Oreochromis niloticus: one gene and its partner. The protein of the gene in region 2 purifies or fractionates together with the protein of the main gene of each other region. This does not show direct contact. Links are inferred from orthologs where the notes say so. Each region holds a gene or a part of one and is shown on either strand. Other genes may lie near its edges.

Region 1 (16,264 bases), on a different chromosome or scaffold from region 2:
TCCCCCTCTTCACGGCGGCGCTCAGCCTCCTGAAGCTCTTCTGTTATTTAAAATAAATAATAACAATAATAATAATAATAATGATAACGGGTTTCTGTTTAATAAAATGCTCAAGTCTTCAAGTCTAAATACTTGGAAAGATCAAAATGTTAATGTTGCAGAGATTGTCCTCATCCTCACCTGTGTTGGTAGCCTGGTCCATGGGCACGGGCAGCTGAACGATGTAATCCACCCGCTGTGTGTATTTGGCTTTCTGTGACTGCTGACACACAATCCGCTCCTCCACCAGAAACCTGAAGGCTTCAGACGGGTTGGACCCAGAGCGGCAGTTTCTCTGTAGGAAGAAGAAAATGGATATTTAAAACAAAATAAGAAGGAAAAAATTAAAAGTAAAAGACAGTGGGTGGCCCTTTAGCTCAGTGCTTTGAGCGGGCGACCACATGCCATACGGCTGAGAGTGGCCGGCCCAGGTTCGAGTCTGACCCGTGGCCCTTTGCCACCCATCTTCCCCCTTCTTTCTGCCCCCACTTTCCTGTCCTCTCTTCCTTTCCAATAAAGTTGAAAAAGGCAAAAAAAACAAACAAAAAAATAAAAAATACAGTGAGAGTTATACTTTACCTCCACCATGTTTATGAAGTGCAATAAAAACTCCTGAGCATCCTGTTGTCGATTGGTGGAGAACTCCGGGTGGCCCCGCCCAACAAGTGCTTTGAACATTTGCGGTGCTATTCCGATTTGGTCTCCCTGAAAGCAAAGCCGGAGCAGAAGGATTTCTCAGTTGTGGGAGCCATCATTAGTTGTACTATAGTCTCACTCACTTCTGAGCGAAAATCCCAGCATAAGGGACAGATATTTTTCCAAACCTAGATTTCTGGATCCAGTGTGACTGATTCTGTCTGCTTACCCTGGGTTCAGCTGCACCATTTTCCTCTCCTGGGTCTGGTGCTGGTTTGGAATAGTCTCCTGACAGCAGACCATAACCGAGCTTGGCTCTGTAATAAACAAACAAGCTGACAAGCTGCACATCCAACAGGATCCCACAGCCTCATGCAGGTGGTGGATTTAAATATAGACCAAGATGTATTTTTTACATTTTTATTTCAAATAACAAGCTGGAAAATCTAATCATGGAGCTGATATTATTATCTGTGTTGAAAGGTTGCTGCGCAGCTACTGAAAAGCAGAGATTGTTTAGAATAAAGTAGATATGAGTTTAATGAAAACAAGAAAACAATAAAATTAGATAGCAAGTAGACTTAATCTTATTATATCAAACTGTTGATAAAGGGTCAAGTTACATGAGCTGCGTCGACCTTCTGTTTTCACAATAATGGATTTTCTTTAAAAGCAGGCTCTTTAGTTGATTTCCTGCTGTGCTACTGAAACAACAGCAAACAGGTGTCGATGTAAGTCTGTCTAAAAATAGCACCTTTCAATAGAGAAAGGCAGTATTTACACATTAAAAGACAATTATCACACTTGAAAATGCAGCTGCCAGGAAAGCGCACAACTGGGTTCGTTGCTGACAGCTGGCACACTGTAAATGTGCCTGTGTATATTTATGCAGATGGCTTATTTGATTTTACAGTGTGTGACACCAATATCAGGAAGCCATATGTGTGTATGTAAATACATGTGCATGAAAACTAAGGTAGCACGAAAACACGTCTAACATTTTAAAAAGAGCCGCTTTCACTCTCCTGCAGTACAAATGAGGGGTGTTTTTGGACATTTAATAATTATACAAAAGCTTGTAGTTTAAAATTTAAAGGAATTTAAAGGAAATTTAAAGGAAACTCACACTTGGGTTTTGAAGTCCTGGGTTGGGTCGCTCGGTGCTTCATCAATTATCTTGTCGATATTAGACACGTACCTGTGAGGTATGGACAGAAAAGCTGGAAGGAAATTCTTTGGATTCATCTTAAATGTTAAAGCAAAGTATCAGACAAATTTTCACCTTTTAGGTGAATATTGACTAAAAAGCAACATTTTTAATTTCAGTTTGCCATAAGAAATAACATGAGACACACAGCTGGATGGGGACTGTAAAAAAAAAAAAAAAAAAAAAAAAAAAAAAAGGAGGTTACTGACTTGCTCTGGAAGTCTGGGATGGTGAAGAGCACTTGCATGACAGAATTGAGGTAGCAGCTGTTTCCCAGGTTCTTCATGCCAGTCAGGCCGGGGCCAAACAGGGGGCGCAGGGTGGTCCCCGACTCCTGGATCACCTCCCACTCTCCCACACGCTGATTCACAGCAATCTCCAGCTCTGTCATTGTCCTCTCAGTCTGAAAGCAGAAAAGCAAATGCAGTAAGTATGGTGGCTGCAATCACACTACGTGGACTGTGTGACTGTATCTGGCTTCAGGACTTTTCAGGCAGAGCTCAGTTAATCTGAGTGGTTTAGAAAGTGGGGACTGCACTGTTTGTGAATGAAACATTGTGTAATCTCGGTTTACACCATGTGGAGGAACACTTCTGTGGCCTAAATACTGAACTGTTAGCTGAGGAATACATTCATATTACTTGCCAAGGCCAGCAGCACCTGCTGTTGCTGTATGAATTCAGTTTGAATCACTACACCGACTGCTCCATCAGTTAACACAGAGGCCATCCAAATGACTATGAATTTCATTTCATGTCATTATTTATTTAAAAGGGACAATGCAATTTAACATAGTTCTAATGTGAAGCAAGAAACTGATGTGCTGCACAGAGTTTAGAGCTCTTGCTAATTTTCAGTCAAATTCAAAATTCAAAATAAATTTTACAAGACTCTATGCAGTCCAATTAAAAACTGAGCATACCCTTTCTGCTTCCATAGTAATTAAGAGGGTTTAATTGATTAACTGATTATCAGTAACAGTAAAAGATTATCAGTGACCACTATAAAATCAGAGGATTTGACCATTTGTAGGCAATCACCCCAAAGTCAGGCCACATAATGCTCAGAGACCCCAAAAAACCCAAATGCTACATCTCAGACTGTACAAGCCTCAGTGTGTTAAACATTACATTTAATTACAGCATGATTAGAAAATGTATGGTTTGTTTTTAAAGGTTTCCAGGAGAAAAAAAAAAAATCTTGCTTAAAAAACACAGCACCATGGCTTAGGTTTGCAAAGTTGCATCTGAACTAGTCACAAGAGTTCTGAGACAATTTCCTTTGGATAGATCAGACCAAAGAGGACATGTTTGACTGTAATACACAGCACCACATACTGAGAAAACCAAACAGCATAAACATCTATCAAGCTCGGTAAAGGGTTGATGATTTGTATTTGTTTAGCAGCCATACAACCTGGGCCCCTCACAATCATCAAGTCAACCATGACCTTCTCTGTTACCAAAGTATTCTAGAGTCAAATATGAGGCAATCTGACCAACAAGTCAAGTTTGGCTGAAACTGAGTATTGCAACAGACCAGTGACACAGTTTAATATTGTTTGGTTTATGATGCAGAACTTTAACCTAAGATGATTTCCTCATAAGAAAGACAATTGTGTAATCCAAACTTGTATTTAGATACTTATTCATTGCTCCCCAAAATCTAATTTTGATTGTTCGCATGTTTATTTTTTTCCTCATTGAGCCAGTCTTATTCCACTTTAAGCATGTTATAGCACATCTTTAATATTTGTGCTGCCATAACTTCTCAACTTAAGATAAACAAAGCATCTTATCTTACAAGTAAAGGGAAGATATGTTGCGTAAGAAAGCAAAATTCTTTGCAAGAGCCTTAATACAAAACATTAAAGAAAAGTTTTTATATTAAGAAAACTGATAAACGAGATTAGGCAGTATGACTCATTAATGACACCAGGCAGGCAGACAAACTATAATATACCACTAACTGCTGTATTCTTTCTTCTGCTTTACTATCCCACAATTCTTTCACCCCCTCGGCTGTGCAACATCATTAGGTGTGTACAGAAAAACATCAGCAAGAAAAGAAATAACATTAGAGTACACAGTGAGAGCTACAGACATCTTAGACAAGACAGCTGTGTAGACTGCACTCTGCATAAGAGGGGAAGCAGGTGGCCAAGAAATAAAAGACAGCAGGGATTCAAAGAGGAAACAGGTGTTGCAGAAAATGAAACAAGGGGAAGTAGGTCAATATGATAAGCAGTAATAATTATATTAAAGAACTATTATATTAAGAACAACATTATATGTAGTTAACAAAAAACAAAAGCAATAATAAATGAAAACCAGATCAGAAGGGGGTGAGATATTCAATAAGAGAAGTATCTTTTTTAAGTGTTTTCAGCTCAGTAGCACTGCAACGTTTTTAGACCTTAATTTTTGCAACACCATAGAATCAATGGCTATCTAACAGACAAAAGTAGGCACCACCATTATTTGGATGTCTGCAAAGGGGGAAAAAAGTCCCATATCCCTGTCTAAATTTACAACACTCCAATCATAAAGCAGCAGACTGATCAATACTTCTATGTACAAGACCTTGATCTAATGCATAACATTAAAAACCAGGAAGAAATCTGACAGCTCTCAACTTGTATTGGTCGATAAGTGATTAAATCCAAAATAAAATCAGCAAGAAAAACAAAACTTACTTTCTCCATGGTCATCATGTCAATGCCAAAGTGAGCCAGGTGCTCTGGTAACTTTGAATCGAGCACCATGTCGTCCTCATCATAGGAATACACATCTGGAAAAACAAAACAGCACAGGGACTGAACTTCAGACAAATGCAAAATCTCTGTAATTTATTTTTAAAGTTAATTAACACAAACCAACTATTATCAAATCGTTTTTTCGCTTACCAGCGCCATCAGGAGTGATGGTACCGAGTTTGACAGCAAGTGGGTAACCGGTCTCCTGGTAGTGGAGAAGAGCATGGTTGTTGCCTCCAGAGCCATCAAAGTACCTGCGGCCACACAGAACTTTGCCATCCGTCAGGTTCATCCAAATGTTCTCCTGGAGGTCACACACCTCGCACCGCCAGCCACTACGACAGACAGAAGAGAAAGCCTCCAATAAACACACTTTCTGATATAAAGATAACAGCCCTTTATAGAGCTTAAATGGCAACATTCTCTCTTTTACAATAGATTACTGAAAAGGGAACCGGATCAATATTGAATCAGTGGATTCTAAATGTAGAAAGGCAGTATCTTGACTAAAATAGATACACCTGTGGCAACTCTATAAGATTTATTGTACATATAGACAGCCAGCACATCTTTTATCAAATTTGAAGAGAATATGTGAGCTGCTGCATGGCAAAATTATTAAATAATAGAGCTTTGACCTCACCTGGGAGGGATCTTGACTCCATTGTCTAGCTGTTTAAGGTCAGCGGCATGCTTCGACTCCTGTCTCACCTCTCCATCCCACTGCTGAACTTGTAAGGTATGAGACACTGAGTCAGCTGCCATGATACCCGCCATAGACAGGGACACCTAGGTGGACAGCAGGGGGACACATTTCAAGAAAATCTCATTTGAAGTCCACTTGCTCTTAAGCACAGAGATTTTTCTTTAAAGAAAAAGAAAACCCCAAACAGACTGGAAGGAGGCAAAAGGTTAGATGATGATAAAGAGATGATATAGTAGCACTATGCATCCTCTCCACACAAACAAACAGGCAAGTAACATGAAACAACACCAGAAATTATTCCACCATGGTAACAAATACAGCTCAAAACAATAAACCAAACATTACTCAAAGAATACACATCTTACCACCTACAATCTAACTAAGTGATTTGATAAAACTTCAAATACTTGATAACTGACAATAGAAAAAGCATGAACTCTGGAAAATGTTGGCAGTCAGGTCTGGACATTGTCTGAAGTGAGGCAGGCAACTTGAGATAATCCACTCCGGTCGTGTTCTCACTACTGGAAATACTCTTGTGAGGTTTAGGCGAGATAGCTGCCTAGGCAAAGCATGTGGAGGGCAGGACACATGCCCACTGTCACTGTGAATTCTCTGGACAATTATTTGCACTATTTACACATAGGAGCATCCAGAGATCTCACACTTTGCACTAGGGAGCTGACGTGTTCAAAAACTGTTTATCATTTGATCTGACTGTGTCACAGTTGAGTGCTCATATCCAACTCAACTGGGAAACAAGAGAAAATGCCTTGTTTATCAACCATAAATCATAATTTACGCCTATATGCATGCCACCCAAGTTCTTGTATTAAAGGACTGTTGAAAAAGTTCACTTGTTTGCTAAGATAATGTAAGGCTGTGTGATTAAGGTAAAAATCATAATAATGATTATTTTGGTCAAAATCTTGGTGCAGTATTATTTAACAAAATTATAGCAAGACTTTTAAAAGATTATGGATTTATTCAACTTTCAAAAACAAATCAGTGGATTTCCTTTCATTTTAACTATAATTTGATGGGAAAAAAAATACATGTGAATGTAAATAACAAAGAAAAGGGATGGGTTTCCTGTTTCATGCCACACTGTGAAACAGGATGTGGCATTAAAATTATTTTGTATCAGTTATCTTGTTTGATAATCGAGCATATAGTTATGAGATTTCCAACATTTGAAATGAATAAAGCACATCTTATCTTACCATCTACTGCCATACTGACAACCTGGGAAAAACCTGAACAGACTAGAAAACAAACATGACCTCTCACCCGCTCTCTTACGACATCAGGCATGGTGGTCAGGTCCTCGGATGTCACCTCCTGCCTGTCTGGCAAAATCACCACTTTTACATCCTCCTCATATTGCTCCTGCTCTACATCAAACCCTCCTTCAATACCTGAAAAGAACAAAAACAACAAGGGTGGAAGCATATGTCCCTCTTGGAAAAAGTGATACCCATAGAGTTAGCCTTTTTTCTAAATACATGTATGCTTATGCACTCACCTATAGCCAGTCTGGTGGGCTTTTTCTTAGGTGGGTGTCCAGAGCCAGAGTTACCATCATCTTCCTTCTGTTGGCATTGAGAGTAGGTGAGAGGACATGTAAAAGGATGGTGCTGATAGAGATAAATGTAATTTAGATCACCGTATTTTAACCATAAAGTGTCCCACCTTGGCCTTACGAGTCCGGGTGATGTGCAAATAAGCCCTCTGACCAGAACGAGCATGGTGCCTGTCAACATACTGACTCCCCAAACCCAGGAAACTGTTCATGCACACATACAGGCCTCCTTCACTCTCCTGTAAAGGAAGCACAGACAGTGTTTAATGCTTATTGTCCTCTCTGTATATCTCGCACCACTTGCAGTAGACTTGCAAATTAAAGTTGGATGCGATCTATAAGTCTTAAGCATGTCACAGCATCAGTTGCTACAATGAAAGTAACTAGCACTCCTGTCAATTTGCTAGCCTTTGCTGTTAAACAATGCTCGTTTATTTTAAAGTCCACAGAAAAATAGTGTCTCTTAAGTGTGACACACTCTGAGCAAAGGTAAATTTACATCATCAATAGTCCTGCAACAGTTGTGACTGACTTAGTTTGACAGCTTACTCAGTTAAACCCACAGAGCTAGCTAACAAGCTATAACCGCTAAGTTTCCATTACATTGCATTATTAGCTTAGCTTGAGGCTAACCTGCTAGTTATGTGAAATGGGGAAAACGTAGAAAAACAGACCATTAAAGTGAGACAGCACTGGCAAAACGTTACGTTAGTGTGAATCACGAAAGAGGAAGGGAATACAACACAGCAACACTGTTTATCAACTGAAGTTTTGATTTACAAAAGGAAAAATGGCTCACCGGTGAGGAAAATGACAAGGCGCATTCGTCTTTGTGGACGCGGTCCCCGGGTTTCGGGACCCGAATTGTGGACAAAACCGACATCAAAAGCTCACCAACGTCCGCCATGACGAAGCTCGCTAGTTCCACCTTGCAGCGGGACACCTGCTCTGAGTTTGGACACCCAGCCTCTTGATACCCTGGCTCGGAAGAGTGTCCGTTGTCTGGCCCGTGTTGTGCTGCCTGTGTTTGCCTGAATGAATCATGAGACGCTGCCTTGTGTTGAGGGAAGGCCGTAAAGAAGTCCCGCACACAGAGTGGCTGCTGCTCATTACCGTAATCCACAGGATATAGGTACGCGCTCTCATTTTTATAATGCAAAAACGACTATTTTTTACTTGGTATGTCCACTGCCGAGTCGCCTCATGAAAATGTGAATGTGCGTTAATGCTCTATTAATTATAAGAAATGATTAATTTCTTCAAAATATAACCAACAACTATTAGTTTCACTTCAAACTACCAAAGCTGTTTTACAGTTATATTTACGGTAACGTCGGTTGCGTACTTCGGGTTCCTCTCGGATGAGATACAAATACTGTAGCTTCAAACATAACAAGTTTAATCAAGTCAAAACTCATCAATACCTCAAACCCAATTTGACAAACTCAAGCAAACCCAACGGGAGTCGTTAATAAACGCGCAGCGTTGTATTACATGTATTAAATTCATAAAAAGTACATAAAAATACAAAAAAAGCCCCCACTTTCTTAACAGGGAGGAAACTTTGTGGGTAGTTCTCCCCTTGGAGTCCCTCCTCTGCTTCCACCTTCGCCTCCTCTGCTGGGATTGCCTGTCGGACCATGGCGCTTCAATCGGGACGTTTGACTGTATACGTGGCGTTTAATTGTGCTATTCTCGCACTGTTTAGTTTTACCTCAACGGCTTGGGCAAGAGGCAGCCCCAATGTTATGTCACTTCTCCAGCCGTATGATTTTCTGTATTACAGCGGGGTCCGCGCATATTTTAGTGGGGAGTGGGGCAAAGCTGCAGAGCTGCTGGAGAAATCCATCGCGACCAGGGAATCACTGTTCAGGGTCCGCAGGCAGTGTCATGATGACTGTATGGCAGCAGGGACAGAGGCTCTGAAGAAACTGGGTAAGCTGGGCGCTAATATAAATTATATCAGATATTCAATTACTGGTAATATGATCATCTGTCTGAACAATGCGCCTGAATGGTGCAGTAGAAGCTCATTAAATTAAACTGCATTAATAAATTAGCTATTTAACACTGGTGTAGACCAGTTTTGTCCCTGCTGACTTATATTGGCATATCAGCAAAAATTGGCCAATAAAGATCATCTGTGACACAGTTTTGGGCGAACTAAATGTTTCAAAACTGTGTAATGAAGAGTTAAAGCTAATGGAACAAAGAAATACAGACTAAGTGTCGGTGTCTGAATCAGCTGTCAGCCAGTCTTTTTATTTTATACCCTGATATTAATGTCATCAGTGCATCATGCAACATATTAGAACAGATTTTGTGAAATTCAGTTATTCTTTTAGCTTCTCACAGCTGACTTAATTACACTTGCTAGATCACAAACACACCCTCAGGGATGAAGGGCTATGTCAGGAGGGGCATCTGCTGCGAGAAATAAGGGAGCAGACATTAGTACCTTCTTCCATACAACCTGCTGAATGTTTTCAAACCTGCCAACTTTAAGGAAAAGCCAGAGGAACGACTGACCTACTCCATGAATACGTAGAGTATTCATGGATTCATGCAGACGAAATAGTGATGTGTATGCTCTGAAGAGAAGAGGAGTAGCGGTAGTAAAGGTAGATGAGTTTAAATACCTGGGATATCCAAAGCGACAAACAGTACACAAGGGAGAGGTGAAGAAGGGAATGCAGGCAGGATGGAGTGGGTGGAGACGAGTTAGAGAGGCATGGTTGAGATGGTTTGGACATACGCACAGGTGAGATAGTAGCTATATATATTGGCGGCAGCAGCAAGGTGAGAATAAAAGAGGAAGACCACAGCAGAGGTTCATAGATGTGGTGAAGGACGGCATGCAGATGGTGGATAATAGGGAAAGAGTGAGATGGAGGCAGGTGATTCATTGTGGTCAGCCCTAAAGGGAACGGCCAAAAGAAGAAGATTGGACCTATCATGTAGCCAGACAACAGCTTTGAGTCTGTGTTAATTACTAGTTGGAAACTAGATTTTATGATTTTATGAAGTTACTGGCGGCTTCACCCTTACTTCTCGGTGTCTAAATGCGTAGCTAAAAAACAATGTGACCTCAAGAGCTCAAAGAATGTGTAAGATAGGCTTTTTTGTGTTTTGTTGTAGATTGTTGGCAGTTCTAAAAATCAAAATGTATAAAATATATGCCACAGGCTGGGACCTTATCGTCTTTTCAATGGTGTGTGTGTTGTTAGACTCTGAACAGGGGACTATGTGGGACCTCTGGGCCCTGGACTGGGTGCATCAAAAAGCTGAGTGTTTGAGGTTCTGCATTGGACGCTCTGTCACACATGTTGGACAGCTTCCTGTTTCTGCTGATATAGAGTACGAGTTTGGCACTCGCAACCCTTATAACTTTCTGCAAGTCACCTACTACAAGGTAAGTCGTTCTTTACACAGCCATAAGGAGCTGCTGCATAATAAAGCTCCTAAATTGTCATTACTTCTACCAGTACTGTGTTCCAAATTGTCATTTAAAGGGAAGCACCTGTCAGTATGGTCTGCAGCCATAATTATAGTTCAGCTCACAGCTGCATAAATAATCACAGCAACACCCTTAGTGGTCTGTAACAAACTTCATTCAGTCTCTCATTTTCCTCCACATCAGCTAGAAAAGTTGCAGAGGGCGGCATCGGCAGCTCATACCTACTTTGTGGCCAACCCCTCTCACCTGGAGATGAGAAACAACATCGAGAAGTACAGACGGATGGACGGCGTGACCGACGAAGATTTCCAGGACAGAGAGAGTCACAATGAGAAACACTGGGTGAGGAGGGAAGAGTAATGGGGTATACAGTGTAAGTGGGAAGAAACTGGGTTGCACTGCTTAGAAAAATCAGTCAAATCTGAATAAATTCACTGTCTGACCCATTCAGAATGAGCTGCTCCTTCAGCATTTTGGAGCCCTCATACCTTCATAAGCACAGAGGAGAGACACATGAAATTTGTAGGTCTTAAAAAGACATTTAAAAAAACTGAAGGCTGTCTTACATCCACTCCAAATGTTGCAATTTAAAGCAAAAATCTTGTGATTACCTTAAAAAAATTATCTTAATTCAACAGAAATTCTAAAAAGCTGCTTCATTGTCATATAATCTGTAGGTGAAAATAAAGAACACTTATCTAAAGAGGCTTAATGGTTAGGTTAACAATGTTTGTCAGCACTAGTCAAACATATTGCCTTACCTTCGACCTTCTTTCACAGCCGCTAGTGTTGTTATTGTCCAATTATAAGCAGATAGCACAAAAGACCAAACTACTTATCTTTTTGAAGCACTTTAGTCCTCTGATATGAACTAATAGTTCTCAGTTTTAGTTCCTAATAAGCATAAAAGCTTTGATTCACTAGTTAAGCAGTGGAAGTGCGAGTTTTTGCACTTGCTAACTAGTTAATGATAGCCGACATGCAGACAGGTTTAAAGGCTTTGAACAAACATATCAGACATTTCTTTAACTGACTGACCCTAACTAAGCCATAACTAGTCCTCTAATAGTCCTCACTCTGATTTAAGTTCACAACTCAACAGCTGATGAAGGGCGTTCAAACAGAATGATTTTAGAGACGTCACTGTGGAGAGTCAGACGTGGCCTGAGGGACTGAATTTCTCTGTCTCACTCTCACCTTCACTTGTCTGTTTGCATGCACATGTCTCAAAAGTAAAAATGTACTTCATCATCAAACGCTAGCCTTTAGCTTTGGGTAACACTTAACAATAAGAATTGTAATAATCAGTGTGTAAACCACCTATAATTCAATAGCATCTCATCGGTATTGGTTAGTGTGTGTTTTATAAACGGTTAATCTTTTTCTCCTCCAGTAAATGTTTGTTAATGCTGCTGTAAGGATTCCTTAGAGGAGCACTGAGAATACTTTTGCACAGCAATTTTAAAATAGTTATATTTAAAAGTGTTATATTTCTTAAGCACTATGATACAAAACAATATACAACTCATTAGTTGTTGTTTTTTTAATTAGCAAGCAAATGGCGACTGTGTTATTTCCCTGTGTTAATCTCTGTCTCTGTATCACTGACTTCAGGTCCTGTATGATGCTGCACTGCAGCTCGAGGCTAACTCTGAATGGAAGCAAGCAGCAGAGAAATGGAAAGCTTGTGTGAATGAAACCCTGCAGCAGACAGAGGAGTGCAGGGTGCAGTGTGAAGTCGCTTCCCAACGGCTGCCTGAGGACAGGGGAGTTGACAGCGTTGACGGCGTGTTTGAAAAGGCAGCAGGTAAGAAGCAGGCAGAAGTTTTGAGCCAGACAGAAAGAGACCAGAAAGAGCCAGTTGTCACCAGTTTTTGTTTTCTGTCCAGCCCTCTCCCTCTCGCTGCTCTCATGCCGACAGTCATGCGTGACTCAAGTGGCCACACGACCTGGAAGGATTTCTGCTCAGGAGGACTTCCTGCCAACACAGCTTGAGCATCTGCACATCGCACAGTTTAAAGGTCTGATTTTTTAGGTCAATGTGAAGGTCACACACGTGATTTTATTATTCATCTTAAGACTGATGCACTACTTTGCCTTACTTTGCATCCTCAATTCCCGGCAGCCGGTGACATAAGCGGGGCGTTGCAGACACTTCGCTCTCTCCTGCTGTTTTACCCCTCTGACAAGGACTCCTTAGACAACCTGCAGCTCTACCATGAGACACTAGGGGGAGACACAGAGTCACAGAGCGCACAGCCTGCTCAGGTACCATTCAAACCACTCAAGGTTCATTATATTAAAATTACCACAGTGGTGTCAAAACGTAAAAAAGTTATAAATCCAATAAAGTAATCCAAGTAATTTAAATGAGAAATACATTTTTTCACTTCTCTTGTTCAGTTATTTCAAGCATACTTAGGTTTCAAATTCATCTTTAAAGTCATATTTAAGCACAGGTTTGTGTGTTTTTGTCACACAGGAGATTGTCAGATACATCAGCCACTCCTTGCAGGAGAAGAAGCTGTTGTATTTTGGTATGGAGAACCTCGACTTCACTTTCACAGATCCAGTAAGTACTGATGCCAAATGTGCAGTGCAGTGACAAGAGAGCCAGCTATGAAGCATTTCTTTGCTGAGGTTATTCATCACCCTCTGTGCAGGATCTTTGGACTCCAGAAGATGTTGTACCTGAATCATTGAGGGAGATCTGGAGGTAAAAAAAGAAAGAAAATGAAAAAGAAATCAAAGGTGAATCTGTCACTAGTGGAAACTAATGAAACAGAAAACTCCATCTGTATCTTTTGTGTTTTAATGTTAGAGCTGAAAAAGAGAAAATGAATGAGAAAATGAAAGTGGGCGAGCAGCAAGAGGAAGTGGATGACAGTGGGTTTTTTGCAGGTAAGAAACAGTATGTTGGGGAGTCAGTATGTTGCAGGTAATTTCCTTATGCTATGTGTTTTCAGCCTTTTCTACCTAGGGCGTCATGGGAGGAGCTCCTCGTCACCTTAATTGCACTTCAGGTAGCTTAAAACAAGGAAACACAGGTGTATCCATTACAGATATGCCTGTTTATGTGGCATGTAACCATTAACATCCATCTATCCATTAACAAGTGAAATAATGAATAACATCCACACGTACCTATAGGCTTTGTAGGGTTGTCAGTAAGGATCAACAGATTATAACAGCTCACACATCTTATGTATGTGAAAATCTAACACATTAGAGAATAGAGGATCATTTATTTGCAGTGTGTCACAGTTTCTCGGCATCTCTGTTAAAGATGACTTTACCATGACACACTAGAAGACTATTATTAAATAATGACTAAAATTAGCAGTAATCTACATATCCTATGAAATACGTGTCAATGAATCATTCTACTCTTTATATTACACTGCTTAGACTTTTCTAAAATATAAAACAGGGAAGGAGTCACTTATAGTCAAGTCAAGATTAGCCTGTCTGCTGCTATGACCATCAGGGAAAGTCACCAAAAAGTCACAAGCTTTGTGGGTTTTGTTGAATATTATGGAAACTATTACAAAGAAATTGAAGCGGCAGTTTATACCGAGAAATAGAGTTTTGTCTTATTTGCTTGAATAATTTATCAATTTCACACAGAGGAAAACGAGGCGTGAAGTGACACAGTTTCTATGGATCTACTGAAACCTGAAGACTAAACAGACCAGCGCCTGAAATAAAAGTAAAATCAAAGAGAATATATTCAGTTTGTTGGGATCTGGTCGCCCCATTAAATACAGTCATTATAGAAACAAATATTTCCCATTTGGCAGCTTCGGCGACTTCATATCAGAAAAAACACAGTCGTACCACCATCTTCTGCTTAAAATAAGAAGTGACCCATTTACTGTCTTATCCTTTCTTATTTGTCCTCTCTGCAGGTGGTCCGGTGCCTCAGGTGGGCGTGACGATCACAATGGACGACGAGATGCTGAACGGCACCAATCGAGTCGTCCTGGATGGAGTCATGACGGAGAAGGAGTGTGACAGAATACTGCAGTTAGCATCAGTAAGTTCAATCAGTTTTTTTTAACGCACGCATGTGAAAACCCCTAACATACACATTTACGTGGTCTCCATAGGTGGCAGGATCTCTTGGAGATGGCTATCGAGGACGGCGGTCTCCACACACTCCTCATGAGACGTTTGAAGGTCTGACTGTCCTCAGGGCGGTGAAGGTGGGTGGAAATGACATAACTGAAGCAGGTCTACGAGATGCTCTCAGCAGCATCTCGTGACCCTCACTGCTGCTTCTTCCTCAGTTGGCTCAGGAAGGCCTGGTGAACCAATCAGATGCCAAGCTGTTACATGAGCTGGGTGATAGAGTGCGAACCGTGCTGCACTCCTACTTCAGGAGCCCCTCAGGACTTTTCATCACTTTTACACACCTGGTCTGTCGCACTGCTGTCACAGGTAAAACCAACAGTATTCAATACTGGGATAAATGGAACAGGTCCTTTAATGTGTAACTAAATCATCCACTCTATTCTTACTTTATTACTTAAAGTTAAATGTGTTATTTTGTTCTTGTTCTGTTTTTTCTTTTTAAATCAGACGATCAGAAGGGCAGGCTCGACCTCTCTCACCCCGTCCACGTTGACAACTGTCTCCTCGAGCCGGAAACCAAGCAGTGTTGGAAGGAACCACCAGCTTTCACACACAGAGACCTCAGGTACTGAAAAAAACATCTCTTCGTGGATTAATAATAAATTTGGGCTCACACTTTCTCCACAAATAATTTTAGAAGATGTTCTCAAGCCATTTTATTCTAGCAAATATCCACGAACAGAATGTTTTAATATTCCTTTACTGGTAAAATGTCATTTAGATATCATCAGCATATAGCAGTGAGAGAATGGTACATGTCATCGTTGCCAAAAGAAAGCTGTCACAAACCGAACAAAGATCTCTGTGATCCAGAGACTCGTGTCTGCTTAGAATACAGGTTTCTGAGAAACATCTTTAGCTGCTTGAGGAATGTGACATTTTCAAACCATTATATAGAAGATGTGAACATCGACGTTGTTTCTCCATTTCACAGCCCTAAGCTACATTTGGGAGTGTTACAATGGACAGCTAAAACACTTGTATCTGCAACTAATTTTGCTGTTTAAACAATGATGTATCCCAAGATACTGGTGCTCAAAAAACTGATTACAGAAAAACATCTTGCTGTTTCTAAAGAGGACAGGTGGGAACATTTCTTAGATGTTGCTGATTTTATATGGAATTACCTAAAAAGCATTAGTTTACACTGCAAGTCTTAAACAGTGTTTCAGGGGAACAATTGTGGCAAATATCAAAACAACCAGAGCACCTGTCGTCACTGGTAAATAGTTTTGTTCTGTTGTTATGGGGAAATAATGACACCTTAGAGCTACATGAACTGATGGAGGTGGAGGGAGAGCAGAGAAAACACTGCTCTACAACACAATTGCTCCATAAATAAATGCAACTGAAAACTGAACGTGACACTTAAAGTTGCTGGTTTTAGTTTTTATTATATGTGAAGAGGTCAGTCTAAGGAAAAAAACGTTAATAATTGAAAACTGAAATGGCTTAGTTTCAGTGTTTCAATGTTTCTGCTTTGACCAAAATGTTCATCCTCTTTGGGTGTAATCGTGCCAATTCTATCGCCAAAGGAAGGAATTATGTAATTGTTGCATGTTCTGTTTGTCTGTCTGTCTGTTTGTTTGTTAGCACTTTAGTGTCCACAGTTTTCAAGATATCATTTTCAGATTTTATGAGATGGTTATGAGGTGGATGGAGGTGGGCCGTCTGAGGTTTCCTTTTATGAAATGTAATTGTCAGTTTTAACATTTTGTGACATTATTGAATTGAATTTTAGTCAGTGG
Region 2 (16,449 bases):
GCGCTGTAACTTTTGACCTCTGCTCATCCTCTTTGACAAAAAACAAAACAAGAGAAATACACATGCATGCACACACACGGATTCGTGCATCTACACCTACAAACACATACACGACATACCGTGCGAAACAGCAAGACAAAAAGATTTGCTCCAATTGTTCCTCTGGCACTTTCTAAAGCCTGTAAGAATTCAAACCCCCAACCGGCTCTTATTTTTGGTTCTGTCAACTGGCGTACTGGTACTTAACTGAACATTGTGCTGCATCTTATGCTGTCAACCTGCATAGCGCCAGCGTTCCACATGAGTGCCTCGCTGGAAGATCGATCATTTTATCACTTACATAACCGCTGCGTACGGGCACCACAGATATAAGAGGAAACATCTTTTTACAAATTAGATCTGTCTTCGCAAAAAATGCCATTTAGCTCGGGGACTCGAGTGTTTGAGTCACACACAGAGAGAAGCACAACTAACGCTATGCTCTGAAACAAAAGACTGGAGCAAATCTATTCTTTTGTTTTCGTATTGTAAGTTGGTGAGTGTGTTTTCATGTCTAGTATGCGTGCGGTGACTGTGTTTTAGTGGATGGACATTAGAGGTCTAAATGATCTGTTCCAATGAGGAAACAGTCAAACTAAATAAGTTTAAGAGTCTTATAAAGAAGCCCTGAGCAAAAAAACAAATGTTCATTTTTTACATGCCACTCAAAACACATCAAAAAAAACCACTGCACTGAAAGCATGGTTTAAAGAGAGGCAGAAAAGAAGAGACTCTTAAGTAAAGAGGAAATTATTTCCTCTTTGAAATGGCAAATACAAAAACATGTCTTTTAAATGAGGGGAAAAGCAAATGATCATCCTCTCTAAAGTCATTTCATACATTGTTGTGGTTAATGTGACATATCAGACTATAACAGTACTACTGCTTTAGATGTAATTAGATAAATTGAAGAAGAAGGAGAACGGCTTGGCTGTAAATTGCATGGTGTGTACATGCTAAGACCCAACACTGGCACAGCTGCACAGAGCTACACTCACGATTTATCATCTTTACATCGCAGGAGCCACTGGCCCACACCACTATTAATCATCAGCAAAATCATTTAATTCAGCCCAAGCCTGACTATTGTCTCAGCTTCTCCCCTCACTCTGGGCAAATCAGCCACCACAGCAGCAGTGCACACCTCAGATCTTGGGTTAAAACTGTCTTTCTCCCTCTCCCTCTCCCTCTCTCTCCTTTTTGATGAGCTGTGTAGCACATCATCATTGGCAGATGGCGCAGAAGCTTGCTTTTTTGCAAATTTAACAAGTATGAAATTTATAATGGCAAAGACTCCGAACAGTTGAGCACTTACTGCTTTAACACACTGACAGTGCGGTTCATTTTTATAAAAGGCGTTCTTTGTCTGTATCCGTTGGACACTGATAATCTGTGGCTAAACTGCAAAACAGAAGACAAATCCAGATTGAATCTTTCTTCAGAAACTGTAGCGTTTCCTCAAAGTGTATTTTGACACGTTGGTCTTCCTGTTTCAACAAACAAATTGTTCCGGATGCCCACAAGCCTATTCCTTGTGAACTCAGCAAAGAACTTTTCCTCTTGTCTTTCTGGAAAGTGGCAAGTTTAGTTCGTGTCCAAGTGTAGTCCAAAAGTTATGTTAAAAAGAATTCAGCGTATGATGTAAAAACACCAAATGAAATGCAAGATTGGGTACAGCAGAGCGGAGACTCTTCTGTTAACCACAGTGGCTGACATAAATTGGCACCTTCTCCAGCGCCCCCTCACATGCCTGACATGGCTGTGCCCTCGGTGCACCCCGTCTCCCACAGCATGTCTGCTTCAGGCCAACGTCCAGACCCACTGACAAGCAGGATAGAGCTGGATAAAACTGAGAAATCCAAACGATGACATGCTAATGACTGTAAGTGCAGAGTGTCCGAGAAACACGGTAAGCGGGCACAACAGATAAGTAAGCAAAGAATGTGTAAAAAAGGGTAAGTGAAGGGTACAAATATGGAGCATGCATCATGCACAGCCACAAGAAACTCACAGCGTTGTCATTATTACATACTGCCACTCAAGGAAACACACACACACTTTCAGATTTACACCTAAGTCCAAATACACGCCTGCATACTCCCACATGAAGCAGCACTTAAGACAAGCACACACATATGCACAAATAGAAATGCTCACACATGACCAGACAGTTCACAATAACATTAACAGGATTTATCAGACATAAAATCAAACTGGACTTCTGCAAATAAAAATTAGGATGAAATTCATGGACTGAGATGCAAACACAATATTTCTAACACATAATTATTTGATTATAACGATAGAATCACGTTGGAGTTTAAATGAAAAATGTCAGCAGGTAAGGTCTGTTTCTCCCTTTTAGGATCATCATCATAGGAAATAATAAATACGTATATTTGTATTTGGTGTTAATTCATGGATTGTGAAGAAACATGCGTCTCTATCATTCAACAGACTGGCAAAGCAGAAATGTTTAATTAGCTGCATGCCACTGTGATTTATTGTTATTATTATTAGGCTTCATTAAGTGATTGCAACAATGAACTTGCATCTCTACATTTTACATTTTTTTTACACTGCCAGCCTGAATTGCTTTCCTTAAATGTTCAACTCATTCCTGTTTCTGATTCTTCCAAAATGGTCTAAGAAGCTCTTACTAAATTAATTCTGGCAGAAACACCTTAAAAAGAGGGTAACAAGACCCCTACAAGCAGTGTTAAAATGTGGGGCAGTAATATGGAGATGACATGTTTTCTAGTTTCATTTCTGTGTGTTTCACTCACAAACAACAACGAGTCTCAGGACAACTCAAAAGAAAAGTGAGAAACTTATTGAAGACAATTACATACATTTATTGCATATCATTTAATTGTATGAAATGAGAAACGAGCACATATGAACATCACATATGGTTAGTGAATGAAATAATTTTGCACAGCAAAATATATATATATAAGTATATATATACTATATGTAAGATGAAAGATTAATTAACATATTTTCAAAATTTATTGGCGAATGGTACTCCCCCCTTTTATACATGCAGGGTGACACTCCCTGACGATCTAATAATGTCCGGACATTATAGATTAGAAAAATTACTTATTGCTTTGCAAATTTTTAGGTTTATTTAAGAGAAAACAACAGTATACCCTGAACTGATGCTAATATCTCCAAATGGTACGACTAGGTCGTAAACGAATGTCAGATCTATCTTCTTGGGAGATGGAAAGCTAATTTTCCCTTAACTTCCACATGACATTTTTTAGTGCATTTCTGTTCAGAATAAGTCAGTTCAATCAAGAAACACATTTTCAAAAGCACAGTAATTTACTAAGACTCCGGTTGTGAGAATTATCTTCTCCAAATATACTTTTTTTAAATATAGTTATTTAAAATATAATAATAAAATGTGTGGCGGACACCAGATCTCTCACACTTCGGTTTATAGCACATGCTGCAAAAGCGCTGTTTTATGCACTGCACAATACTGCTCACTGTATAAATTGGAGCCGAGCCAATTTCTCTTAATCAGTGTGAAAAATAGTTTTGGGCAGCAATCTTAATATTAATTATCCTAGAAACTATATGACATAAGCTGTAGCACATGATATCTTTTGCATCATAGATTATAAAACTTTTTCTTTAAATTACGCTTTAAAAATTATTCAGATGATGACAAATGCACAATGGAATATATTTAAATAACAACATAGGCTTAGCAACAGACTAAACTTCCAGGAAATTGACTGGTAATTTCCTTCATAGTGAAGTCTTTTCTTTTTCCCCTCGCACCAGGGTCCCCGCCGACAAACTTCCACCAGGAATGCCAGCGCATTCACTGCAGTCTTATGACAGCCGATGGTGGTGCACTTCAACACAGCTGAAATGCACCACTACAGGGGGTGGGAAGTCCTGTCACTTTTTTGTCTCTGTCCCAAAAAAGTGAGGAGGCCTAAATGAAGTATGAGTGCCATGCTGGAGTCATCCGACAAAAAAGGACATCTTCAAGCACAGAAAGAAAAACCATACATGTCCAGCATGCAGGGCAGTTCAATAACACATCTCTTTAAAACAATGAAGAGTTTGTAATGGATACAGTCTTTTGTTGCTCCACACAATAACAAGCAAACGCATGAGATGAGGTGGCGTCAAACGGCAGGCTCGCAATCCTCCAAGTTTGGCAGACAAAAAAATAAAAAATAAAAAATAAAAAAGGAGAAAGAAAGAAAAAAAAAAGGAAAAACATACTGTCGATGGATGCACTTTTGATAAGAATCTGTACACTGAATCAAAAGTAAAATGATGAAAAAGGGCCAAGTTGATGAACTTCAAAGGAGTATACTTAGTGCTTGCATGCACACTTGGTATACTGCGGCATAAAGTTGGATCAACTTTCAAATATCAAACACTGCAAATCTAATGAACAGAGATGAAAAAAAAAATCTTGACAGACAAACTATGTGTAATATACAGAGTATGATAGCAAAAAGTAGAAAGTTTTCTCAATACGCCTCTTCTAGATTAAAAAAAAATGCGGATAACAAAGCCCTCCAAATATACAGCAGTGGTAGAATGGAGGGAACTTGTTTTCAAAAAAATAAATTTAATAAAAAAAAATCAAAAAGTTGATAAATTAGTTCTTGATCTAGGCATATAGTGGGATTTGCGTCAAGTAAATAATAAAAAAAAAGTTTCAGAATGAAAACTTTTTACGCGGGGTGAGTTATTCATCTGATATAGTTTTATTTCGCGATAATGTCGAAACTCACATGAAAAACTCCGGAGATGAAGGGTTGTTGTCACTGCTGGATCCATTTTCTCTGAAGCCGTTGCTGATGAGCTTCTCATACTTTTCTTTGTACGCGTCCCTCTCCCGGACCAGCCTGGAGATCTCTTGCTTTAGGTGCTCGACCTGCTGCATGAGTTGTGTCTTCTCTCCCTCCAGGACGTGCCGCTGCTGAACCCGCTTGAACCGGCAGGACTGAGCGTAGCCTCTGTTCTTTAGGGTCCTCCTCTTCTGTTTCAATCTGATCACCTCTTCTTTGCTGACCCCCCGTAGCTGCCGGTTGAGCTCCCGCACTGACATGGTCACCAGCTGCTCGTCTGTGAACCGCTCCTCCAAGCGCATGTGTGGGTGATTTGTCCCAGAAGTGCCGTTGGACTGGACGCCCGGTGCCTGGTGGTGGCTGCTGCTGTGGTGGTGATGGTGGTGGTGGTGGTGTTGCGCTCCGTTCTGAGCGGCTGCCGCAGCAATTACTGCCGACACCACCGCCGCGGCGGACCCCATCTCTTCCCCGGCCATGGTGCTTCCTGCTCCGGCTGCGCCAGCAAACTGCTGGCCCCTGGCATAGCCATCGAAAGACTGGAGCTGGTGACTGCTGTTGATCAGCGCCTCGACCGCGTCTTCGGGGCTGAAGCCCAGCGCCTCTGGATTCAGCTGCTGTTGATAACCGGACATCCAGTAGAAATCCTCAATGTGTGTCTTCTGCTCACTCCCCGAGCCCGGACTGGGCGCCGAGAAGCTTGGGGAAGGGGGCACCGAGCTGCAAGGCGTGCTCATCGGGGTGGAAGACAAGGATCCCCCGGCGATAAGGCGACTGCACTGGCTGATGTTGCGATCGGGCTCCACCGGCTCCTTTTTCACTTCAAACTTCATCAGATCGAAGTCATTAACATATTCCATGGCCAGGGGACTGGTGGGCAGGTCGGAGTTGCTCATTGCCAGCTCTGATGCCATCCTCTTGCTGCTGACAGTCCTCCAAATGGGGTGAAGAGCAGCTGTCAAACTGGGTTGGTTGGGAAGAACGTGAGCCAGTTTGATTTTTACGCGTTTGTCTTGAAACTGAAAAAAAAAATTAGGTTTTCAGCGTCCTTTTTGCAGCCGCGGACTTGCAGGCTTGTGAGAGTAGAGTTTCTTTGCAGAGTCTATTGCACTGACACACCAGTGCCGCGCGTACGAGTAGCGGAGTCCTTTTTCAGCATGTGAAATTCGGCGGTTTTGGATTTCAAACATTTAACACTTTACGGTGTCTTCATGAATACATTGCGCACGCGGAGAGGGAAACACACCGAAAGTCAGGGAGTAAAAGCTCACTTGCACGTTCTAAGCTGCTGTCTGGTGGGGCGATTTTTTAGTGGGATCACACAGCAGATGAGTTTAAGCATTGTAGCCGCTCTGACGTCAGGCTGGAAATGGGAAATTGACTCGGACGACGAGCCAATAGGGTCGCACACTCTAACAGCTAATTAACATATTAGTAGCCTAGAGAAACAAAACTTTTATCTACCGTCAATGGACACCAGCTGAGTGTCAGTCGGGGCATAGATCCCTTTGTTCTTATTATCGTAATTTCGATTTCAATTTTTTTATTTATTTGTTTATATATTTATTTTTTCGAAGTATGAGTTGTAAGTGGAACGAAGCAGAGCATGCATGCTCTAAATTAATTACAAAACGGAGTTGTAATGCTTGACATATAGAAAAAAAAGAGAGAAAGCAATCATAAAACAGACCTTACGTAGTTCGTGTAATCCTATAGCGTACACTGGTTATACATTTTAAGACAAAAGTCTTAATCTTGCGAACATTACCTGAAAAAAACCCCCGTCCACTTCCTAATGGCAATGTCTGATATTTGTCTGAATGTACAGCGCAATTAAAATCTAGAAACTATGTTTTACCAACTAAATATAAAACAAAAGTGGCATGTAAAAGAAGCTGCGCGGTAACTTGACAAAAAAAGGGAAAAAAATATGAAAGGCGGATTGAAGAGGTTGTCATGTTTTCGCACACCATTATAAAACTCAACACTGCCACCTTTTGGGCATGCTAGTGAAAGGGATTCCCCTCCCCATCCAGTCCACACAATTTTCGAAGAGTTGAAAGTTTAATGAAACGTATGCTGTTTGCAAAACACAAACACATATACACGGTCCGAGTGTCGTTGTTTTCTTCATTTCAGTAGGGAAAAGACATAGTACCCCAATTAAATTTCAAACAACTTACATAACAAAGTCAATTTTGTATTTTATGGAAGTAGTCATATCAGAGGAAGTGGATGCGGGTGAACCCGCTGCTCAGTGCAAACTGATATTCTGTAAAAGCCATAAAACTCACTTTATCTGAGTACTCTCTCGTACATTGCTCTTTATCTCAGTTCAGAGGTCTCCTACATTTAATTGACTTGTGTACAGCACTAACATGAGTCAGTCTTGGTAATCCAGCTTCCACTGTAAGTCCTGTCTAGTTAGGTGACTATAGTTTCTTTACCCCAGTGGACACAGCATGACCTTTTAAAGTCAGAATAAATAGTAAGGTTTGTATACAGTTTGTATACAGTGTATAGTTGAAGTCTCCTATTAATGTATAGGCAAAATGCAATTAACTAATGACTGATAGCAGCTCACTTAAAAAAAAATAAAGCAGTTTGTTAGGGAAAATAGTGATGTAAGCCACACTGTGGCCCTGTCTTACTGGCCACAAGAGTGTTGATTTCTTTTGTGGCCTATTTTGACATGGTGCTGACAAATAACCATTTCTTTCCTGTGACAAAAGCCTATAATCATAGCCTGTTTCCCACTCTCTCTCCAAGTGTATGATCTCATCTTTTCAATGATGTATATTTTTAGATTTTTGTATGCGTCCTATTTAATGATAGTTCAACTCAGTCATGTCCATTCTGCCAAAAGCTGTGGAAGATGATCTCGACAATAAACCAGATATGTTACAACCACGGGGAGTTCAACACTTGGCTATGGCTGACCAAAACTATAGTTCAGGTTATGTCTTTCAGTTTTTTTGACATAACATCCTCAGGGATTCTGACTCTGATATTCTAATCATTAAATGCAGTGGGACTTTCAAAATATATTTTATTACTTGTTGAATAAATTAGAATAAATGCAGAATAAAAGATTTTTTATAAGGCTGTGTTTTGTGTAAAAACATCATCATTACTGTTACTGAATGTTTTATTAAAGGGTAAGTGGATGTATCCATTTGTATGGCTACATATGGCTCAAATAAAATTCAAACAAAACCCTATTGTTTTCATTTCCATTCTGTTGCCTTGTCATCTGTTTGGGCTTACCTGTTCACAGGAAGGCACAGCAGCAGCCTGTTCCCTGGGGTGCAGCCACAGCGGACTGAGACTAATATACAAACGAAGGGAAAGCTCATTAGTCATGACAGAAGAAAGTGGCGAACCTAATTTAGCTGCTTTTGTGCCTTTGAAGTTATTGATGATGCAGAGCTGTGAGAGATCTACATGGAGAGAGATCAGTATATGCTGTGAAGACAACTTATCAAACTGGAAAGACAGAAGTTCATGGGATGAGATGGAACAGCAAAGCGAGGTTGACTTATAAAGATGTGAAACCATCCAGTCTCATTAAATAGGTCACCTCATTTTTTCGCTCAGGCTTTTCAGCAATTTGAAAAAAAAACCTGGAGGATTTTTGAAACCACAGCAGCCACATGAAACCGAAGAGTGCAGCTTGTTAGAATGCTGTAGTCATTAATGTTCAATGGGTTCGTTGGCTTTCCAAAGTTAAGAATTGTGAGACACGACTTAAGAAGGTTATTTGTGTATATACTCACTTTGTGTGTCACTTAAACTCATTTTATTTAATTAACACACATTTTCATTTTGAGTTGCCACAAGGGATGAATCCACATATTTGATTTGGCATGGATTTTTGCCCTTCCTGGCACAACTCTCTCTGGGATTTGTGTCCCTTCCCACTCTTGAGCTGGGGATCTTTCACAGGTTAGGTGAATGTGTTAAACACTGAATTATGGATCCACTTACATGTTATCAATTCATTTGCTTTGACTATGTTAAATTTGCTAATCTAAAATGCATCATGTAAACCGTCAAATGTGATGCATTAAACACTGTGTAGTTGTTTACAGTGTACAGTTTAAAAACGAAACAAGAAACAAACAAGAAACAAAACAAGATTATTTGTAGCTTCGGTCTGTAATGGTTTATGATCAATCTAGGGTGTTGGTCATGTTCTAATTTGATCTTCTGATCTGAGATTAGATCTGATCAGCTTAGGGCCGTGCTCCTGTGATATCTTAAGTGTTAGAGGTGTCTTTTGTTGGCAATATGTCTTTAATCCTGCAGACCTTGCTGAAGGAAATGCCCGCAATCATGGAAACAGGAATATTAGTGCAATTAAACATCATAAACATTAATATATTTACGTTAATTAGCAATATCTGCTTTATGTTCACTTGTTCGATTTTAGACAACAGACTGGTGACTTTAATATTTTTATGTTGGTTCAAAGGAAGAATATTACGTCAACATATCTAGAATATTAAAAATGGCTTTGATAAGATAAGGACTCAAATTTACTTCTCCATTACTTCTACACACATCTGTTGTGTGACTCCTTGTCTATGGTGACACATATTTTTTACAAAGTATATAGTCAGTAGTTGTTAAACCTCAGAAGACAATTTTAGCATTAACATGAATACTGTGTTTTAGGTTGGTCTTTTGCTGTTATCTGTCTGAATTTCTCTCATTCTGGTTAGCTCTAGAGGCAACGGAGTGGGAAGTTCAGAGGTCAGTAAGTTGTCTTTTGTATCTGTTAGACTTTGTGTGTGGTGGGAAGGGGCTTCCTCAGTTTCAGGCAGGGCCATCTACTCCCCCTATTTGCATTCCTTCACTTTTCTAAGCTGCTACTAACCAGAGACTGTTACTGAATCCATGTTGGCACTCATGAATACCTGGAAGCCGATAGAGCCTGCAACCATACAGGCAATTTAGCTAAAAAAAAAGTTCAGTATGACTTTACCAAACAAGAAACAAAATAAAACATAGCATTCTGGGCGTTACTTTTAACTGTAAAATGAAGAAGACAGAAAAGCAACCCATGCTTTACATCTTTACTAACGAGATGAGCTGGTTTTGCACTGCTGTAATGCAATTTCATCAACAGTTTAGTGACAGCAACAAAGCCGGAATATCAATTTTCACCCTACCAACAGAATGTGGGCACAGCCGTGTCACAATTACTTTAATCCATTAGTCAGAAGAAGGGTGAGGCCGAGAAGGGTGTGATAGAGGACAGAGAAGACAAAATAAGGTCAGGAGGAGAGCAGGGTTGTAGTCTGAGGTGGAGTTTGGTTAGCCGCTGTGACACTGGTGGAAAGTATTTCGTAGCCTACAGCTAGTGGGCTTTATGTAAGCAGAGAACTCTGGTGTCTGAACACAAGTTAGTATCAGTTCTTTGGCTTCATGGCAAAGAACCAGCAGTAAACCAGTGAATGTGTTACAGTGCTGTGAACAGCACAGTCACACATGTTTGACTGTCTTAGTGTCACACGACCCGGGGATGACACATGAGTTTTGAGGTTTTATCTCTCATATTCCATTCCCTTCCCCTCCCAGCTGAATATTTGTCAAGTTCAGTGACATGGTTGCTAATTAATACTATGTGCCCAGTAAATGTATGCTATTCTCTTCACCCCATGCAAAGTAATCGAAGAAGACTAGTCAATATTGTACAAGCGTTGGCAGAGTGGTTTGCATATTAGCCATAATTACATTCACATGAACATAATGTATTGGTTTACTGTCATGTGTAAGGTTAATGTGTATCACAATTAAATGATATATTAACTGGTGGATAGCTTTCCAGGGTTATCTCCTTCGGACATCCAATGATTTCACACGACTTGGACTTTGAACTTTCACTCTGCGTGTAAATGTGTGTGCGCCTGTGATGCTTGAGTATTTCCCTTTACTTGTGTAATTTGCTAGCATGATAGTTTTGGGACGCATCTGTTTGTGAGAGTGTGTGTTTAAGTTTTGATTGGGATAAAAGTTTCTATCCTTTCTAAGCTGCTACACTTCATATGATCATTTTTAGGCCATTGTAAGAAAGGAAGCCAGTTCTGAGTTTAATATTTTAAATTTAGAAGAAAGAACAGAAAATATGTTTACTTAATTGTTTGCATTTGCATTGTTTGCAGCCCTTACTTGTTTGTTTTTTCAATACACTGGTGAGCAATATACAATATAGCAGTTCAGTGCTGATATAGCAGGTTCGTTACCATAAAGCTACTATTTCTCAATTTCCAGTCTACAAGATTTTACGCTGCAAACATGCAATGTTCAGTTGTTGCGTTGTACAGAAGCCTCTGGAAAGTATCCAGCCTCTAACTCCTGCTGTTTATTTTCACAAATGCAAAAATGAATAAATGCACAATGAATATCAGAACACAAGAATTATTTGCTTTTGTAAGTTAAATTTTATTGTGATACCTCTTTTTACTCCTGCAATTCTCGTTGAGTTGATCATCATAGCAGAGGTAAATAATAATATGATATAATACCACCTAACGTTATACCTTTCCAATGTTATACCTCTATACAAGGGCTTCAGCTTTAGTTTAACACTTGGACATGTCCTTATTTATGTTGTTTTCCCATTCATTTGTCACCTTTTACATGGTCATTACAGTGAACCTAATGAGACTATCTCTTTATTATGTTCAACACAGTATTTGTCAAATATGCCAATACAGACTATTGACTTAGTGAAGATAAACAGTCTGCTTATGACAAACAACAGTTTGATAAGCTCCACAGAGTTTTGAGAAGGGTTCTCAAATCCTATGTGTTGTATGTTGGTACATAAAACTAATACTTCTCATATACAAAAAATGATGTGGCTTCAGGGTTATGACACATAATATTATAATGTTTAGAAAAGCAGGATCTTCATTTTATCAGTCTTGTGTGGCAGATGACCACGCAGTGATGAAATACGTCTACATATTTGTGAATGGGTGATAAGGACATTTCTTCTATTTAAATAAATACACAAAAGCAGAAACAATTCCACAAACATATTCCCAACTACATGCAGACATATACAAATGCAAAGAGAGGCACGCACTCATGCGCATGCTCAAGCCTAATGAGAGATTTTCTGACCTTTCTTTATACACCCCTGGAGAATATTGATGAATCCCCTTTTAAAAATAACTCTCGCTTGTAGGGTCATTAAATGATTTACAGTTATATCAGAAACACATAATTATTGCATTTATTATGTTGGACTGTACAGGGCTGGTCCATTGTGGTAGGAGGTGGTCCTTTTAACACACAATATGAACAATTAAAAGTTTATTCTCTGCGAGTGTACTCAGTACTTATGTTCTGCTCTGAAGGTAGCATTGGTAAAAAAAACAAAAAAGCAAAACACTTTACAGCTTTTATAGTGGTGCATTAGCTATTGTAAAACTAAACCTGTGCCCTTTATAATGGATTGTCTGATTAACTAAAAAAAGACTGTTATAAAAGAAAGAGTGCAAAGTGTCATTATGGGCTTTGCCTCGTCATATTTAACTTTTTCCATAATGTCCCATAATGTTAAAACTCATTTCAGCTATTTCTAATTGGAGGATTTGCAATGACATTTAAGCCTTTTATTGTCATACATTCCAAACCTGTAATGTGGAAACCTTCGTCACAATGAAACGTGAGTGGATGAATTTTGTCCCCTCTATTACCCATGTCAAATCAGACATAATCTAACACGGTGAGCAAAGCAACTTCAGGCGATGTCACACTTGCTGTTCTCCAATAAGACTGACTGTGACATTGAAACTGTGAGGCTGCAGCGCTCATTTCTGACCTGCAAGTACACACCATCTGCTTTAGAGAGTTACCAATATTATCAGAGTTGTTGCATGTTTAAATCCTGCAGTCTTGATCTTTTCCTAGTAATGATATCTTCTCAATTGTTAACGCCGCTAAGCTGGTTAAAAGTCATCTGACTGTGATTGTGAGCATGGCCGTTCAAATATTCCCACTGGGTGAGGCGCTTAACGTTCATTTGAGCTCTGTGTTGAGCACGGCATTAAAAACCCAACTGAAGCCCAAATGGCGATGATTTAAATGAACTCATTTGAAGAACATTTAATTACCATTGGAGCGTAATTGAATGTTTCTCTGAAGTGCTGAGCGATTCCTAATGAAATGGGAAGATACTGACGAGGCTTAGGAGGCAGGCTGAAAGTCAGGCCCGTTCTCAGCCTACAAGACTGATAAAAAGATCAGAGAAGCACCTTCTGGATAAATAAATCTATCACTGCTAAATGAGCCTAAAAAATGCACTAAACAATCCTGAGCCAAAGGCCTGCTACTCTTCAAAAGATATGTTTTAGTTCATTTGCAAACTCTATTTTAATGATTCATTTTAATGGAGATTTTAGTGTGGACATTGATGAGTGTGGACTCATATAAAAGAGGCATAGGTAAGGAGGGGGGCGATAAGATATTCACAGGGCTGTTTGGCCTGTAAATGTCTCTTCCTCTGGAGACATGTTGTTAAGCTAAGGCAACTACTGCCCCACCGTATTTGTACGTGAGAGACACAAGACGTGCAGGTAAATAATTGTCAGTCTTTATGAGTGGCAGAAGCAGAAGCAGTTTACAGACACTGAGATTGTCAGTGTCTGTAAGCATAAAGACCTCTTGAACAAAAAAAGAAAAAAAAAAAGAAATATATCTTTTAATTTCCAAAGCATAATGTCAAACAAAAATACATATATAATTTGAAAAAACACCCCAGTTGCTCCCCATACTTTCAGTTTCGTCTTCTGTCTGGGTTTTTCTTGGTAACTCTATTTGGTTGTAGTCTGTCAAAGTCCAGTTTGTTTTTGGAATGAGGGTTTAACATAAGGCAAACAGGAGCTGGTTAGTTAAATGTCGCTCTTGCTATTATAGGGTTAAATCTAGAGTATACAAGCTAGCAGTCTGTATCGTGAGAGCATTTCCTGCGCAACAATGAGTCTCTGGGCTTGTCTGACAGACACAGAGACACAGAGGGAGATAGGCAGAGAGAGCGAGCGAGCAAGAGAAAAACAGAGAGATAGAGAGATAGATCACCATTGCACAATGCGTACATTTATATCTCTTGGCAGCTAAACTGATAAAAGTTCACATTGCTTTCTTGCAATCAGCACATGATGATAATTCAGTCAATGTGGTGATTAGTGTGTCAAAGCATCAAGATTCCCTTTGCATCCTGACACGCACGCATGCACACATGCTCACACACACACACACACACACACGCACACACACACACACACGCACGCGCACACACACACGCACACGCACGCACACACACACACACACACACACACACACACACACACACACACACACACACGCACACACACACAAATGCAAGTATCTATGGATCTGTAGGTGTTTGGTATCCTGAATAAAAATACATGCATTAAATTTTTGGCTGTTTGAGCCAAATTTTACACCAAAAAGTCACATATTTAGTATTATTGCTATTGCAAAAGAGTGAACAATTGCTAAGCATTTGTTTTTGTCAGAAACATGGTGAAAGTGAGGATTATTACCCCAACAGCTTGGAGTCTGGCCATCTATTGATCCACTGTAGACTGCCGTACTCCACAAAAAGTAAAGCATGAAAGAAGGCAATTTTAGAGTATATCATACTAAGTAGTAGCATTATTAGCAGTAGTTTGAATAACTTTTCTAAATATGAATACTCAACAACAACTCAGTAAAAAAATGACAACCTTGTAGTGAGGTGCTAAGGACTTAATGCTCAGTAGAGGTCAAAACACTTAACAGGCTGTTTGTACTGAACGCTGGTACCTTAATGGTAGCTTCAAAGTAGAATGTCACAGGTTTGAATTTGGTATGTAACTTCATCAGTTATTTTCAACTGCCTATCCTGATTATTGATTAAGCTATCACTGGCTTGTGTCAGATAGAGGAAAATGAATGACATTTTTAAATCACATAGTTTATCAGTAATACTTTTCAATGCAACAGTATGTGTAAATGTTTAAAGTGACTTTAAATTATGTAAGCTATTTCTCTGAATGCTAACGATACTAACATGGCCTTTAGTGACAGCTAGCGGCATCTGAACTGTAGTTAATAACACATTCAAATAGTTTCAGGTGGATTTATTCTGTGTATTTTGTGCATGTTTTCTTAAAAGATACAGTTTGACGATATTCATCGGCCACAGTGCTACAAAGAGGAGACTAAATTACCAACTTGAAGCTTTCATTTAAAGTCAGGCAGGAGAGGCAGCTAAATGAATGAAGTAATCCCATCAGTTCTTTAAAACTGTAGAGTCAGTGACAAGCAGTTTTAAACCTTATGTTATAGAAATGTCAGATAAGGTTGCTGGCATAAAATAATAAATAAATATGGAAAAAAACTCACCAAGTAATGAGTTGTAATTGACCTCTCCTTCCACAGGCATTCGTGCATTAAGAGGCCTCCCTCAGAACAATATGGCAGCCACATTAATGCATTATTTCAGTAAACTAGCAACCAATGTGGCACCTGCATGTGGATACAGTATTAATGCTTACTGCACTCTGCCACCCACCACACATGCACTTTTCACAGACACACACACATTCAGTCTATACTATGCATATAATCTACATAGAATATGTCTAATACTCAAGCTAGGCATTGTTGTTGTACATTCAGGCTTGTCAAAGCAGTTAGTCAAATGTCTTTCTCTGCAAGATGCTATTCCCATGGAGACATAGGAACTAAATTGGCTAATAAAAAGTCATGAACTAAATTGCAGTTTGTGACTCCACAGCTCTGTCATTGGACTGCACACAGACAATGACACCCAGTAGTCGAAGCACATCCTCTAACCAGACTGACATTCCAAGCCGCAATTACAGCACAGGGCCCACCAATCCAGACCAAAACACCTACTCACGGAGACAATGGCATAACTGTTCACACACAAGGGCAACCCTCATTACTCTGTCTGCCTTTCCCCTCTGCTCCTGGTCCAATCTTGTTATTAATCTTAACTCATTCATTAGAAGAATCCTCAATCATTGCATGCTTTCACATTAATGTAAAGGCCATAACAACAAGTCCTGGTAGTGTGTTTGCTGTCAGGCTCAATAGCAATTAATGTTTCCAAATTCATCTATGATTTCCCTACAGCGCTACATTTGTTTGACCTTGTTTTCCTTTGGTTTTACCAACATACATAACACAATGCACATCTGTCCGTCACTGCAAAATCAGGGGTCCTCCTGCAAAATGCATTACACAAAAAAGAGACTACCGCCCTGTGCAACAATCTAAATGTGAAACTATTCAAGGCTATGTTACCTCTCAATTATTTCATAATTTGAAAAGTAAAAATTCCTTTTATGAACAATAAAATTATTTTTTTTAAGTAGAAAATTAATTCCACGAAAGTGAATACACCTTTGTTGAAACTTTGATGGTGACCCATGATTAATTAGGTTAATTTCATGAACATGATTATATAATGACATGTGAGCAATAGAAGTATGTTGGCTTGGATCTATGGGATGTGTCTATCCTTGTGTCTGCA

Evidence for each region.
Region 1: the proteins of mafa (region 2) and usp5 purify together in Homo sapiens (affinity purification with western blotting; 3 studies listed by BioGRID, with this or other methods). This does not show direct contact. The link is inferred for Oreochromis niloticus from reciprocal best matches to the Homo sapiens genes MAF and USP5.

What each region holds. Positions count from the first base shown.
Region 1 is NC_031976.2:23,488,151-23,504,414, reverse strand, and holds the start of usp5 (ubiquitin carboxyl-terminal hydrolase 5), read right to left. Parts: upstream 7,864-16,264; 5' UTR 7,833-7,863; coding exon 7,725-7,832; intron 7,165-7,724; coding exon 7,036-7,164; intron 6,936-7,035; coding exon 6,869-6,935; intron 6,762-6,868; coding exon 6,634-6,761; intron 5,427-6,633; coding exon 5,281-5,426; intron 4,973-5,280; coding exon 4,788-4,972; intron 4,673-4,787; coding exon 4,578-4,672; intron 2,286-4,577; coding exon 2,092-2,285; intron 1,874-2,091; coding exon 1,802-1,873; intron 993-1,801; coding exon 905-992; intron 745-904; coding exon 619-744; intron 335-618; coding exon 181-334; intron 41-180; coding exon 1-40. Other genes in the region: p3h3 (prolyl 3-hydroxylase 3), read left to right, coding at 8,566-8,860, 10,153-10,337, 10,566-10,724, 11,997-12,189, 12,272-12,403, 12,508-12,650, 12,865-12,954, 13,046-13,098 and 5 more. UniProt on the Homo sapiens protein: Deubiquitinating enzyme that participates in a wide range of cellular processes by specifically cleaving isopeptide bonds between ubiquitin and substrate proteins or ubiquitin itself.
Region 2 is NC_031965.2:23,845,704-23,862,152, forward strand, and holds the start of mafa (transcription factor Maf), read right to left. Parts: upstream 6,594-16,449; 5' UTR 5,783-6,593; coding exon 4,815-5,782; intron 1-4,814.